Linked DNA regions of Lytechinus pictus. The protein of the gene in region 2 purifies or fractionates together with the protein of the main gene of each other region. This does not show direct contact. Links are inferred from orthologs where the notes say so. Each region holds a gene or a part of one and is shown on either strand. Other genes may lie near its edges.

Region 1 (8,017 bases), on a different chromosome or scaffold from region 2:
TACGCGGCTTGTAGCTAGGCTACGATAACAAAGATGGCAAGATGGCGACTATAACAGACTGAGTAATGCTTCTCTACTTTTAATATTTTCATTCATTGCATGTTTTATAATATTATCTATAAAAAAGGGTCCAAATGATATTGTAGCCCATTAACATAAGTTTGGGCTCAAAACCCTAAAGAAAATGTGTGTTTCTGAGCAACTTTATTGTTGGCAAAATACTTGGTGCGTGTAGACAGGGCTCCACACTAACCCTCTTTTTCTACTGGTCCAACCTGTTCTTTTCGGACCAGTAGATACCCAGTTTTTCCATTTTTTACTGGTCCAAACCTAAAATTCACTGGTCCCCAAAATAAAGAAAAACATGAATAAATTCAAATAAAGACTTGTTTATTTTGCTGTCTTTTATTGCCTCCCCCCCCCAATTTTTTTTTTTACTAACAAACAGTGCACACATACACACACAGAATATAATTCATGCGAACCATTTCACAGTTTTAGAAAGACACTTTAAAGATGCCAAAGCCATTTATATTATTTACTAAAGAGGAGAAAATATCATTTATATTAGTTTGATATATATTTTACTGGTCATGTCAGACCAGTAAATCTGGCTATTTCTGAAAAGTTACTGGCCCGACAGCAATTTTTACTGGTCTGGGACCGTCGGACCAGTGCCAGTGTTGAGCGCTGGTGTAGTGCAATGGCATCCCGTCCCTGGCTCCGTGAAGATTAAGCATGTCAGTGATTAGACCAAAAGCTTCAGTCTCTGTATTTTGGTTGTTCCGCTGAACTACGTTGGCTTCACTCACCAATACATAGACTGAAGAGTTGTTGGCCCGTACGTATAGACAGTGGTATACTCATGATACTGAACTAACATTTTATAGGTCGCGATTTGAAACTGTTTTTAAGCGAAATTTACAGTTTCATGGTTTCCCTTGGACCGGAGTTATTGAAAAAAAAATCCTTTGGATGATTGAGAAATCTTTCATCTTAGACATTTTCACCTACGCTGATGATTTTTCTTGCAAGTTGCCATCTTGAATGACGTCACTATCCTTATAACTTTTTAATGTCTTGATATATCTAATGTCGTCTGCTACCTGTGATTGTAGCGGTTTGGCTCGCATATGGAGCAGATCGTATAATATCGAAAGCAATATCGATATCACATTCGTAAATTGTTGACGCCCTCTCCGTTCGTTAATTAATATTTCATATTTTGGCTGCCATTTTGGGGGTGATTCTCGAGACCAAGACAAGTAAACATCGGTAACGTACTATTTCCACACCTTTTAATCTTTTTTTTTTCATATGTCTTGATTCTTTAGATATTCAAGACATTATTTAGGTAGTTTCTAAATCCTTAGACTGTAAATTAGATTTTAGTCTAGACAGTACTAATCCTAGTCTTGAGGACTCCATGATGATTTTTTTAAAAATATTTTGACTTATACTCCTTCATCATAGAGTCTTGACACTCTTCCCATAGACGCATAAGAGACTGACCAAAACAAATAATTATTAATTATTTATAATCACGTATTAAATTTTAATATTTGTTAAATAATAAATTTTATCTAGGCCTATAAATTGTTCTTCAAAACGGAATTTTGTAACATCGCTAATCGTAGCTACGTCATAACGAAGCGGTTCAAGGGTGAGACCTACATGTATTGTATTTGCTTTGTTGACAAATGGATCGAGGGATCTACACGAGATTGGTCGGGTAAGAAACCTTCAATTTTTAACATTTTTATTAACCAATTTTTTAAACCTTCATACGCATTAGGCATAGGAAGGTGTAAAAATAAATAAAATCACCACCATTTACGTGATTTTTATCTTAAAAGATGGATTTCCTAGGGAAATCCATCTTTGTTTTGGTCAGTCTCTTATGCGTCTATGGGAAGAGTGTCAAGACTCCATGATGAAGAAGTATATGTCAAAATATATAAAAAAACATCATCATGGAGTCCTCAAGACTAACTAATCCCCCGAAGTGGGCGACGTGATAACACATGTGAGCTCACACTAACGAACTACCTTCGGTGAATGGGGATTATACATGTATGTAGTAAAATGACAGAAATTGTTGAATAAATCCCCATAAACGACGGTCATTCCTGTCTAGTCAGTGATATGACATTAATCTCCAGGAGCCTCCTGACTAAGCCTAAGTCGGATGGGAGTCTTCCTTCTGTTAAGGAGGAAGACCGAGAAAAATCATAACATGTTTATAAAACTCCTCCGACAATAGATTTTCCAGGCAGTTATTTTATGTTATGTTAGGCCTATATGGTTAGTTGGTGAAATTGCAGTTTGAAATGCAAGAATAAGGTATAGGCTCTATCGCTAATCAGATTCGCAATGCATCATGGGATCGCAAAGGGGGCCGTTGCGCACGCGCACTAGCGGACAGTCCGCAGAACTAGCTTACGGCCCCATTTGCAAACCCCGCAATCCGCATTGCGAATCTAATTAGCGATGCCGATACTTAGGATCTATTTAATCATCTAGGCCTAGCCTAGATCTATTATATTTTCATAAAATGGAAATCCACTTGTAAGCAAAAAAATTTAAAAAATGTTAAATGACTCAATAAGGTTTATCAAACAAGATTAAAAACCTGAAAAACATAATAACTGTGAGAATAGAACTTTCTCTTGCCATATCACGATATCACACACACACCGGCCGGCCTCTGGTCGACGTGAAGTCTCGACGGGCGCAGACCCACTCCATCCGAGGGAAGCATCGCTTCGTCAAGTTACATGTAGCTAACATAACAACAGTCGACAACAGTTGTTAGACAGGGCAAACTTGGGTACCGTACTCATTTGAGATTTTCACATTTCAGCTAATTTACTTGATAAAAGTGGCATGCAATAATACTACTACCAGTACTCACTTTTGAAAGAAAAAAAAAGAGTCCTCAGTTTGCGTAAAACACAATTCCAGAATAATTTTGCTTGACAGCAGCAACAACAAGCTTTCCACCCTCGGCTTCCGCTAAGTACGTGTAACTTGCATTGGCTTCCAATTCCCGCGAAATCGAGTTCCGCGCGAAATAGTCAGCTGATTGATCTAGCGTCCCCAAACGAGTCATCTGATTGGTCGGTCCAACAACCCATAGCATGCACCTCTTGTATTGCATATTGCAGTACCTTTAAGGACGTTCCACAGTTATGTTTGTGTGCATTATGATCTGCGCATACTTTACACTCTGCGCGCTGACGTCACAATGGATGAACAGGTGATTAATTAGCTCTGGGTATGAGCTGATTTTTCTCATCATCTGCACTCTAACTGCAGATCCGATGCATTATCTTATGAAGCTAAAAAATTGAATTATTCCATGGACCATTTTAAAAATCATCTCTACAATTTCAAAATACTTTACTCTGCAGTGCTGCCAAGAATCACGAATTAGTCCCCGAGTTTGAATAAATGGTAGAGTGGTTTTGATTTTTTCTTCACATAGATACAAAGCATTCGGCACATTTTTTGTGTTTAATAAAGCACATTTCCAAAAAAAAAATGCTGATAGTTTAAAAACAAGCACATGAACCCCCATTTTTTAATGTTTATACCTCTTAGGTATACCTTCCTCTACAACTTTGCAAATATTGGTGAAAATGACATGGATTTTGAATAAAGTGCAGCATTTATTGTACTTTTGTAGTATGTTATTGAAATTTCACATTTCTTTAGATTGGGTTTTTGTTATCTTTTACGCCATTTTAAGAACTGACAGTGCTGTTAGACTTAAAACTGCAAACAAATAGCACTATAAATAGATTCTCCATTCTAACGATACAATTATTAACTCTCTTGCGAAATTTGATGACTTTTTCATGTATTTTGACTGAGTAATACAGGTTTAAACTCATTGTAGTAATCTTGCGAGGTCTAAAAATGCCAAATTCTTTTGAATGCGCAATTCTTAACAACATCAATTTGGGTGAACTTTGAAGCTCTATAGCAAAAAATCAAGCACATGGACCTATGTTAATTTTTGCATATTTCGAATATTAAGGTTCTAAAGTATCTATGTGCAAAGTTTGATGAAAATGACATGGATTTCACTTTAACTGTGGAACGTCCTTAAACAAACTGAGTGTGCGTAGTAGACGGGGTAATAGATACATGATATTTTAAAATGTCTGCATATCAGGGTATATCATAAAACAGAGACCTTCTGTGCATTACAAAAATATTATTTCAAATATGCGATATGGCAAGTTATATGGGCACTGTTTGAGGCTAACGTTACTTCTCAGAATAATTGATATATTTTAGGGAAAACTATATTACAGTCTCATTTTTTTTTTTTTTTTTTTTTTTTTGGGGGGGGGGGTATTTTTTCAATTACAAGACCACACATCTCTACCATCAATCAGTAGACACAGTTACTGTTACCAATCAGAACTTCCTCTTTGAATATTGCTACTTGGCCTTCATAGTGTGCCTGTGCGTATAAAATCAGTAGATATATGTCAGGCCCCCTCCCCCTACATGTTATGTATGTACATGTATATTCATATATTGTCCTTATCAGGAAATTTAATACCAAAATGCTCGTTCATTGAACGAAATGACACTGATTTTTTTCTCTTATTATAACAATGTTATTCTTATTATTTTCTTTGTTGTTCAAGGGCAAACTTACAGTCTCATTTTGTGGTATTTCTTGGTAAAATATAGTTTCATAGCTCAAGTCTTATCTCACAGGGGCGGCGATTCGCCTGCATGGGGGCTCAGTGCCCCCACTCTTCGAAGCACTGAAAAGGTGCCGTTTTTTTACGCAAGAAAAATGCCCCCCCCCCCCATGAACGTGTAGTAATGAAATAAAATGAAAATCCATAACGTAACTGTGCCCCTTTCAGAAGAGGAGCCGTTTTATGCGTTTCCAAGTGCCATATCTCGTATCGGTGCCCCCTTTTACCCAAGTAGAGTGCCCCTCACGAACGTGCTCTGTATGCCCCTTTCACCTAAGGATCCGTTTTATGTCTGAGCAAGCAGTGTGTATTTGAGTTTTGTCAGACGTGTATCAATCAGATATGATTATTTACGTCTGGGACCGACCTTTAACGTCACCATCCGAAAGACGTGACCAGGGCTCGAACCTCGAACCTCTGCATCAATTTGTAACTTCCCCCACATAGCTTGGATACAGGCGCACGCCACAACGCCCAGTTGTGCTCTCAGTGCCTTCTTTTAAGTGCCCTTTCTCGAATCAGTGCCCCTTTTTAAAGAAAAGTGCCCCTCATGAACATGTGCCCCTTTCGCCTCAGTGGCGTAGCTACGGGGGGGGGGGGCCTGGGGGGGGGGCACGTGCCCCCCCCCCCTGAGATTTGGTGTGCCCCCCCAGAAAAAATTGGCAGAGCAAAAAAAAAAAAGGAAAGAAAAAAGGGAGAAGAAACGAAAAAAAGAAAAAGGAAAAGAAGAAGAAAGACAGAAGAAAAAAAGAAGAAGAAAATAAGAGGAGGAAGACGAGTGAATGAAATAATGTAATTAAAAAAACAAATCTTTTATGTTACTAAATAAAAATTTTGCTGGCGCTTCGCGCCAAAATTGCCTGTTCAATGAGATTCATATCTTGCTCAATAGGCTGATATGGAGCAAGTTTTGAAGTCAATATGCAAAACATATTTTAGTTCGATATCGAGCTTTCATAATTTTTTTTTCATTTACAAATTTAAGTGCTCTGTAAAATGTCCGTTTTATGGTCTACATATATCAGCATTTTAAGCTCACGCTGCGTGGTCACATTGTTTGATTTGCAAAGTTCATATTGTCTACGTGTATTCCATAACGTTCCATTAAACAAATGTATTCAGAATGCCCAGATTCTAGGTCTACATCTACAACACGCGCGATAGCCTGCATGTTCTTTATTTAAAATGTACATGTACTTGAATTATCCAGTTTCACATCAGAATATCAATAATTGTCTTTGTTTTAAGATAATGGCCGTGCGTAGCGGGGGGGGGGGTGGGGGTTAGGGGCAGTTGCCCCCCTTCCGAAATTTAGAAAACTCAATTTTTTTACTGCAGATTTTCACAAAACCAAAAGTATGCACAAACTCCATCAATTTCACTTAACAAAATGCAAAAGCGCCTTATTAAGCTCCCTCGCTTTCGATTAAAAAAAATTGTGCACACAGCCATGTTCAAGATAGTGCCCTTTTGAAAGAAAAGATGCCTTTGTTCTATGTGCCCCCCTCCCCAATTTCAACTTCGCTCCGCCGCCCCTGTTATCTTACATTACTGCTATTATGTTTTACCGTAATATCTTAAATTTATATTGTAATTGTTAATGTAATTTCTTGATTATTTTTGTTGATTTCGTTATTGTTTTAATGCAACATCTATAAATTCAGCTTTTCAAGCTGCGATTACACGTCATGTTCAACATGTTCGTTCAACAAATCTTAAATCTTGAATTAGTTTTATTTTTTTCAACAGGTATTATGTGATCTGTAATTATTGGTGAAAATCAATAAAATACAAATAAAAAAGAAAGAAAAATCCGAATTGATTATTGAAATGTGATTGTTTAAAAACTGACATTCCTAAAGGCTGGATGATATTTGTAACAGAATGGGGAGCAATGATTCTGCCCAAAATGTCCTTTCCTAATTCGGTATTATTACGCTTAGTTATAGACATGATTATTAGATTCTCTTTTTGTCTATAAGAACAAAGGGCCCTGGGAAAGATTTTTAAATAGAGGGTGTTGAAATTTGTTCAGGGGATTGTCGTTAGAAAAATAATTGTATAGCACAAAAAAAAAGAGAAAATGAATAGAAAAAACTCTCCGTGTCATTCGGGAGCAATATAAAATTTTTTCATTTTTTTGTGTTTTTTTGTTGCTTGTAAACCTCATTTTCCAGGAGAGGATGCGGCCTGGTAAATAACATACACGACACACCGAACCCCCGCTTCCCAGGGCCTTGTCGGAACACTAAGCAACACTGAGACTTAATTAGATTGTTTACTTTGCTCACACTGTTTTTCAGAAAGTGTAAAATTCATTAAAGGAGAATGAAACCCTTGAAACCAACTGAATCCATATCAAAGAGAAAAATCAAAGAAACATATTGTTGAAAGTTTGAGGAAGATTGAATGAATAATAAGAAAGTTATGAGCATTCGAATATTGAGATCACTAGTGCCATGTAGATCCTCCCAACGGCAATGCGACCAAGATCTGTGATATCACACACGTACAACTCCCTCATTACTTTAGTACTTATTTCACTTATATTCTCACTTTTATAGAGTCTACCACAAGGTGAGGTGTTCCCTTTATGAGATGACAAGTACAGAGGTTTCACAACATTATATCATTGATGAATCGTTTGTCATATGATTAGAATGAGCAAAAAGAGATGTTTTGGGGTATATTTTCAGTGTCCAAATGGGAGAGTTGTACGTGTGTGACATCACAGATCTTGGTCGCATTGCCAATGGGAGGATCTCCATAGCATTAGTGATCTCGACATTCAAATGCTCATAACTCTTTTATTGCTAGTCCTATTTTACTCAAAGTTTTGTTGATCTAAATTCATTAAAGGAGAATGAAACCCTTGAAACCAACTGAATCCATATCAAAGAGAAAAATCAAAGAAACATATTGTTGAAAGTTTGAGGAAGATTGAATGAATAATAAGAAAGTTATGAGCATTCGAATATTGAGATCACTAGTGCCATGTAGATCCTCCCATCGGCAATGCGACCAAGATCTGTGATATCACACACGTACAACTCCCTCATTACTTTAGTACTTATTTCACTTATATTCTCACTTTTATAGAGTCTACCACAAGGTGAGGTGTTCCCTTTATGAGATGACAAGTACAGAGGTTTCACAACATTATATCATTGATGAATCGTTTGTCATATGATTAGAATGAGCAAAAAGAGATGTTTTGGGGTATATTTTCAGTGTCCAAATGGGAGAGTTGTACGTGTGTGACATCACAGATCTTGGTCGCATTGCCAATGGGA
Region 2 (7,684 bases):
TTTTGTAATGATTAAATCGATTAGTCACTAGAATCAGTAGTCATTTGAATGAAACTCACAATGCTTTGATGATTATGCAATCAATTATAAAAATCAACTACATATATATGATAATTTCTCAAGCTTTGCATTCCTTGGCCCATAACATTGTGAGATCAGTATACTGTGATACACTGTACACAGGCCTGACTGTAAGTCAAAATTCCTACCTGTTGAAGCATTCCATTTCAGTTGAGTTGGTTGGCCACCTTCCGACTACACTTGCATTGGCCCATATCCTTGGGGTAGAGTCTAGCAGCCATTTGAATTGTTTGTTTATCTGTAATTGTCAACAATAAACGTTTTAAAATTAATTGTGTCAGTTACCATATTTTGCACTTATTTTTAGAGCAAGAATGAAAAAAAAAACTGATTGGCAGATTATCATACAAAATACTTTAAAACACTAAAATGATTCACTGTTAAGAATCTGTGGTCTGATTGGTGAGACTGCATTATTCTAATTAATAATGGGTCCAACAGATCATAAGTATTAAATTATACAAAATCATAATGTTTAAATAGCGTATTTGGATTGCCTGCTCAAGCCAAAAGTCACAAGTAACTTTTCCAGTATTTTTATGACACTCGAACCTGATCACATAGAAATACATTTGTATTTGTATTTAAAAAAAGGTACCAGTATTTTTCACCCTCTCCCATGTCCCAAGTACATGACAAGAAAACAGAAGAGAAAAGAAGGCAGTTTTCTTTCAAAGAGATTGGAAAATAAACAATCTGAAAATCAGATAATCCTAATCGATACTTACTCTATACATATTCTGGAGATCACACATTGGTAAGAATTTCAGTAGATAAATGAGGAGTTCATCTGGGAGATCGATGAGCATGGTTTTTGGCAGCTTACTGTTGCTCCTGAGAACCCGTACATGGAGACTGGTTGACCTTGATGATGATGGTGACTGTTTTGCCATTTCAGATGATGACCTTGCAGGCAAGGTACATGTACGGCTACAAGTATCTACAAATTACATTAAAAAAGAAGAAGATTATTCATGTGCTATAAAACAGCTACAATGCATGGATTTGATTATGAAATCAATAAATTCTAGTACAGATTACTCATCACGATAAGTCAATACATCATTATACATGTACTTATAAAGAGTAATGCCGTTGTATGGAAAAGGGGTCTCTCAACAAGGAAATCTTTGCCCAAGAAATAAGTTCTTTATTCAACTCAAGCTCTCACTGAATATCCACTACCTACAGTACATCCAAGTCCCAGACCTAGTCCTGCCTGCTGACCAAAGCAGTTGTTATGTCCAGGCGGGTGAAAATCCTGACAATGTCAGTGACAAGACAGTAATTTCAAGAATTTGACATGGAATGTTGGTCACTGATTCATTGGAAAATGTGAAGACTCATGGAGGTACATGTAATCGCCCCTAATATATTTCACTAGAATAATTTGAAATTAAAAAAAAGATTACCGGTACTTGACTTATCTTCTACTCCATAAACATGACCCATCGCTTGGCGACAGCACGCTAATGCGCGGTTTGCCTGCTGTCGCCAAGCGAAAGACAATGAAATCAAGATGGCGACGTAAACACGGTGGCAACTTTTCCCCGTCTTTTCATAACATTTTTCTCGTTTTTAGAATGAATTCTTGTTTAAAAATGAAATCAATATCGTAGAAATATTGGAAATGAAATTGAATCCCATATACATGATTTAATTAGGGCTAGATCTTTTAAAAGTAGAAATCTCGGGGGCGAAAGTTTGAGGTTTTTTGGCGGTACGTGCAGATGAATGCAATCAAATCCCTGGCTCTGTGTAGAGTAAACATGTACGTTAGTAAATGATTTTTACTCTCTAGACTAGGAGCCTCCTGGCTACCTGGTCCTGGGGATAAAAAACCTCAACTTCACTTCACACAGCTACAGTCCTTCAAATAAATACCTCGAAACGAGTCGAAAGGTGTCATTCAGTGACATTCACCAGAGTAAATTGCACATGCACTGAAGCGACATCACACCTAGACAATACTACTAGATGATACCTGCTATTGCTAATGAAGCGATGTCTGGATTACCCCTTTCTGAGATTCTGAGATCAACACCATCAGATTCTGAATTCAAATTTGTCTTTGTCATTAAGTCAGATCTTGTCTTAAGAATAAGATAAATCGCCTTTGCTTTGCCCTTGGGCTTGGCTAGCTTTGGGTCCCCCATCATAAATCGTTTCTTTACTTAGTAGGGAGGGGTGTGCATGTTGCCACGTCAGGCAACACAAACAACGAAACCAAAAAAAAAATGAGCCTGGACGGCTGTCAGCGGATATGGATGGACGACCGCAACACTAGCCTACGAATTAACGGTCAACGGCTCAACGCTCAGCCAGAAGCTTCGGCGTGCCCTCCCACCAACGACTGCATCAAGAGGCTTTCAATTTAAAATAAGAGTTTTGACTATAAAAGTTAGAATATTTCAACAAATCTTGAAATAAAACATTCAACTTCAAATCATATATAAAAAAAGAATGTGTGTTTATCTTACCCCTCATCTTTTAGAAGACAAAGTACTGCACTCAGGAAAAGAAAAGGACTATAAGTATAATTTGTACGAATATTTACACATATCGCATCAGGCACAGTTGAGCGGATGCATCATTCATTCATTCAAGTTTAGCGCGTTGGCTTGCATTGAAAATACACATGCCAGCCGTTTGTGTTTACGTCCGTTATGAGCGTCGTAGCTCATGATTGGCTGAAAGATTTTGCGCTCGGTTAGAAGTATCCGCCCACTAATGAGGTCAACGGAAACGAATGACCTTTCACATTTACGACTACGTGACGTCATCGTATATGTTTTCGTGCTAAGCTAGCTAGCTACGTTGATTTCTGCTACGTCGAAATCGAGAAAGAATCGAAATAATACTTGTACAAGTAAATGTTATTCCATTAATTGATGCAATCGTGAGAAGCAAGATTTGTGACAATCGAGATGGGAGGGACAGACTCCAAGCTGAATTTTAGGAAAGCAGTCGTACAGTTGACAACAAAAACACAGGTAAACGAGAATCGGCCAATACAAAAATTACAACAACACTCGAGCTCGACATGCATGCACTTCACTGCACATGTTAATCATGGACAACTCACGAGCTCACAGCTGGTAGAGAGCTACTACTAGTACTAGTAATAATACCCAGTTGTTGTGTGTCCGGACGATCAATTTTAGAAAGTCTTTTGGAAAAATTTACAAGCGAAGTTTCATCAATTTTTAGTAGAAAATGTTAGGAAATATTAGAGAGAACAAAATCGAAGATGATTATAATAATTAATAATAATATAACTTATTTTTAACTATTGAATTCATATTTTTAGTGTAATCCAAAGACAAAAAAAGAAGGCTTCAAAAATATAATAAAGTGTCCGGACACCCGACCCCCCATCCTACTTGTACTATGAAAAAAGTGCTACGCCGCGCCACGTCGAAGCGTATTAAATATTGCACATCTGACGGAGGTCTAACTTAGTAACTTAGAATTAAATTGTTAAAGATATTTAAGGTTGGATGTCATTCATTAAAACATTATGAAGCGAAACTCAGCTCAGAATGAAGGGGGAGGGGGATGTCTGTGAGTGTCACTGTGCACTAAATAACATTTAACTTTTTTTAAATAAATGTAATTTTAAACATGAATTTCTTTTCATTCCAGAATTTAATTCAAAATGTGGTTGATTAATGACTTAGTTAGGCCTAAGGTTAGATCTAATGTTAGATCTAAGTTAACGTTGCATGTCATTAAATGTTCCTTGGCCTTAAGCAAGGTTAAGTTAATTTACTAGATCACGTTGACTGCCAAAAATTGTAATCCTGGGGTGGTATTTATGTAACTTTTCTTGTAATGGGGTGGTATTCATGTAAATTTTCTTGTAATGTAACTCAGCACATTAACAGTTCGCAAAAATTATCTTTAATCTGTATTCTGAAAATTATCTTAAAAACTCATCTCTTTAAGGACGTGTCCCCTATTTCATCTCCGACACGCGCAATATCTCATCATCAAGTCAACCAATAAATCATGTTGTTTTATGCTTGGGTTCAACCAATAGAAGCGTCTCTTCTGTAAAAACTCTTAAGTTTAGGCTAGCCCATTATTGACATGATGAGGGCTGAGGCGTAATTTCCCTTATGCCTCTGACGCTTGTGCTTGTGCGCTACTGTGCTAAGATACATTTACTTACTTATTTGGATTTACTTGGAAGTTGGATGTAGAGACGTAAACTTGTAGCTTATTTGCCCCTCGTCACTTTAGATAGTCTGGTTACATGTGGTTGTTCTCCCAGGCATATTTACTTTGAAAAGATTCATCATCTCGAATGAGATCTTTAAATTGCTGCAAAGTCTGCCAATCGGTCTCTGTAATATCTTCAGAATGTTTCATTTTGGAAAACAAGATGTTCTTGTGTGATGCAGCAAAAAAAAAATTGTTGACTGAGAAATATGGCATGCAGCATTGAGTTACAAAAGCCCCAGGCTACCTCTCGAAATTTTATTGTATTTTCCAAGGAAGTTAACAGAAAGCAAAGATAAAAGAATTTTCAGAATACCTTTTATCTCGATATCTTATCTTGTGCACAGAGATATATATGCGCCGTTCTTAGTTTTATGCATCATTATACTAGCTCTGACATCATGTACCCTAATAAAGGAAATGTGTTGTCTGAGGCTTATATGGAATATCATGATCGTGCAGCCCTTCAAAGAATCCATTCTCATTTTTTTTAATGTGAAAATCGTAGCATGCTTATTAATAATGTAAATTACAATTTTTTTGTAAAAAAAATTAAATCATGATTATGAATTTTTCTCTAGTCCTCCATGTTTGCTTTGTTCCTATTATATGACAGCCTGTCGAGGCAGGAGATGATGCCTTCTGGGACCAGTTTTGGGCCGACAGCGTTACCAGCGTGACCGATGTCTTTGCACTCATCCCAGCTGCTGAGATAAGAGCACTCAGAGAGGAATCACCATCTAATCTGGCCACTCTCTGCTACAAGGTATATCTCTGAGCTTAGTCTCTGAACAAATAGGGGAGAGTGTTGATTAAGGCCTCGGGGTAAATAAGGCCCCCACTTAGTTTTTAGCTCACTGCTTAAATTTACCAGTGTCGAAGGGATCGGTGTTTGTGTGGTATTTGAGACAGTTCCTTTAATAGCACATATCACAAGCATAAACAATATATCATGGCCCAATGCACATGGCCAGGAGGAGTACAAACCTATCAGAAAGTCAAAAATCAGCATTTAGAAAGTAGCATCATGACTTTATATAGGCGAGTACTGTATCCACCGAGTAGTGTGATTAATCTCTATATTAGTTTACTTTTGTAAGGAATTATTGTGCAAATGAGTACTGTTTTAATATTTACCGCTTTCCCTCTTTTTTTTTTACTGGAAGCCTATGAACTTAACATACCCAATGGGGCAAATGAGGCCCCCGGATTAAACCATAATTAACACTGTATGGTTACATCTGATAAAACAGTAAACCGCAGTGTAGACATTTCCACACTTGCTTTAATATGTACACCAAAAGTTTTCATTTTCAATAGAATGTCGAAACATATAACTTTGACAGTTGAAAACACAATCCGACAATCATTTGATTGATAATATTGGATAAGATTAATAAAGAAATTCTAAATAGGGGCCTTGTGATTGTATTAAACCAACGGAACTATTTTCACTTTGAATATAGCGACACAAAACAAAGAACAATAAATGTATCAAGTTCTAGACAAGCGATGAGATGACCAGAGGTTCCTGTATAAAATACCCTGAAGAACAACACTGAATTAGTGATTATATTGTTAGTAACTACATGTATGTCTGGGTAAAATGGAAATTAATATGAGGTTCTCTACTCACCAGTTCATTTGTAATGCTACCCATCAGATAATACCAGTTATTTTGCCAATGTGAAGCAAATTACTTGTAATATCTCTGAAAGAAAATATCTTTGGAGGAACTTGTTAAAATTACAAGACCTTTCTTAGGAATTCTCCAAGGTGTAGAGTTCTTTTGCAGTGTAAAAGCAAATGATAAGTTCTTCAAATGTGAGACAAGATAGGCCTACAGGCTTAGTTATATGTACTTTGTATAGGAATGCAATAGACTTGCTTGCTCATAACGAATTGGAACATTATCTGAAAGTTCAGTTGGGTGTGAACAAGTTTATTAGGTATTCTTAGGCCTGTATAAAAGTGCATAAATACAGGACTGATCAAGTTGGTTTGGAAGCACTGAATCATTTTTCATTGATTTTCCATTTCTATTGTAGGCTGTCGAGAAGCTAGTATCAGCTGCAGAGTCTGGATGCTCCGCCCCTAGAGACCAGCAGGTGGTACTCAATGCAGCCCGCCTCCTCACCCGCATCCTGCCGTATATCTTTGAGGATCCTGATTGGAGGGGATTCTTCTGGTCTACCTTGCCTGGCCAATCAGTGAGTTTTTTTTCATATCGAGCTGTGCCTAATCAACTTTCTGGTACAGGAAGCTGACCAGCAATTAGGTTCAAGATATTTGATTGATTCTTATTATTCCAAATGGGCAATTTACAGAGTGTCAGATGTATTGCTAAGAAACGAATGCTGTGGGATTTCTAGAAGGCCTTTGTAAAAAAAATATGTCAACTAAAGAGGTGCATGGCATGTTTCCTTTATTATTCTTCCCTCTAAAGGAAAAAAAACTGCTTTCTTTATTACATGTCAATGATGTCAAATGAAAATTCTGTCTCCTTGCAAATCTCATGAAGCAATGGCATGGTACTATAAAAAACATGCTGCATGTACTATTGCAAAAAAAAACGAAATCCAATTATAAGAAAATATGAAATCAGTGACAATTCAGATTAAATCGCTTGAAACTGCAACTTCCAAGCATGCCAATTGATACATTTTTTAATTTCATATGAAGAAAACATGAATGTTTTGCTTTCCTTTTTGTAAAACGGCAACCTTTAGTATTCTAATGACAATCATGCTTAAGTCAGAAATGTACAGTGTACATCTTATTTCATTTTGATATTCTATATCTTTTCTTTTGTGTGACTATATTGGTTTCATTTTGGATGGACTTCCTAATATTGAAATGTAAATATTATCCCATCTTCTTCCTTCAAAATGTGAAAGTATACTTTGCTTCATCTTACATACATGTATCTTATTAAATTTGACTCCACTCTGGTATGTAAGCATGGCATTTTTTCAATATGCTAAGAATGGTTTCATTGACTTTAATCTTAATACTATCTTCTTTTGTTTTCTTCATGGTACTTTTTTTTCTTTCTGGTGATTAGGCAAACATGGATGGGGTGGATGACTTTGTAAGTTTGCTGTGTGCTCTTTCCCTTCCTCTACTAACTTGTAGGTTTGCTTCAGACAATTTCATGTAGGCCCAAATTCACAAAGGTGGTTTTTGAAACCATCTGTTGAACCCATGACTTATGCAGATTTTCTGTATGAATTACAATTATTTACCGCGTATGTTAAAATTTGTCCTTTGCTGATGCATGCTTTTGTCACAGTGCACCAAAACGCCGCCTGTTCTCATGATTAATTACGCTATTTTATTCATGAGTCCACTGTTTGAAGAGTGGACTTATTGATTCAAA

The links.
Region 1: the proteins of cyclin-F-like (region 2) and cell division control protein 6 homolog purify together in Homo sapiens (affinity purification with western blotting; 4 studies listed by BioGRID and IntAct, with this or other methods). This does not show direct contact. The link is inferred for Lytechinus pictus from reciprocal best matches to the Homo sapiens genes CCNF and CDC6.

Annotation. Positions count from the first base shown.
Region 1 is NC_087245.1:25,571,315-25,579,331, forward strand, and holds the start of cell division control protein 6 homolog, read right to left. Parts: upstream 3,028-8,017; 5' UTR 2,677-3,027; coding exon 2,674-2,676; intron 1-2,673. UniProt on the Homo sapiens protein: Involved in the initiation of DNA replication. Also participates in checkpoint controls that ensure DNA replication is completed before mitosis is initiated.
Region 2 is NC_087254.1:27,029,989-27,037,672, forward strand, and holds the start of cyclin-F-like, read right to left. Parts: upstream 3,149-7,684; 5' UTR 3,075-3,148; coding exon of another isoform or gene 3,009-3,074; 5' UTR 2,569-3,008; coding exon 2,562-2,568; intron 1,022-2,561; coding exon 810-1,021; intron 320-809; coding exon 210-319; intron 1-209. Other genes in the region: protein HID1-like, read left to right, coding at 3,009-3,074, 4,922-5,071, 6,354-6,515, 7,370-7,396. UniProt on the Homo sapiens protein: Substrate recognition component of a SCF (SKP1-CUL1-F-box protein) E3 ubiquitin-protein ligase complex which mediates the ubiquitination and subsequent proteasomal degradation of target proteins.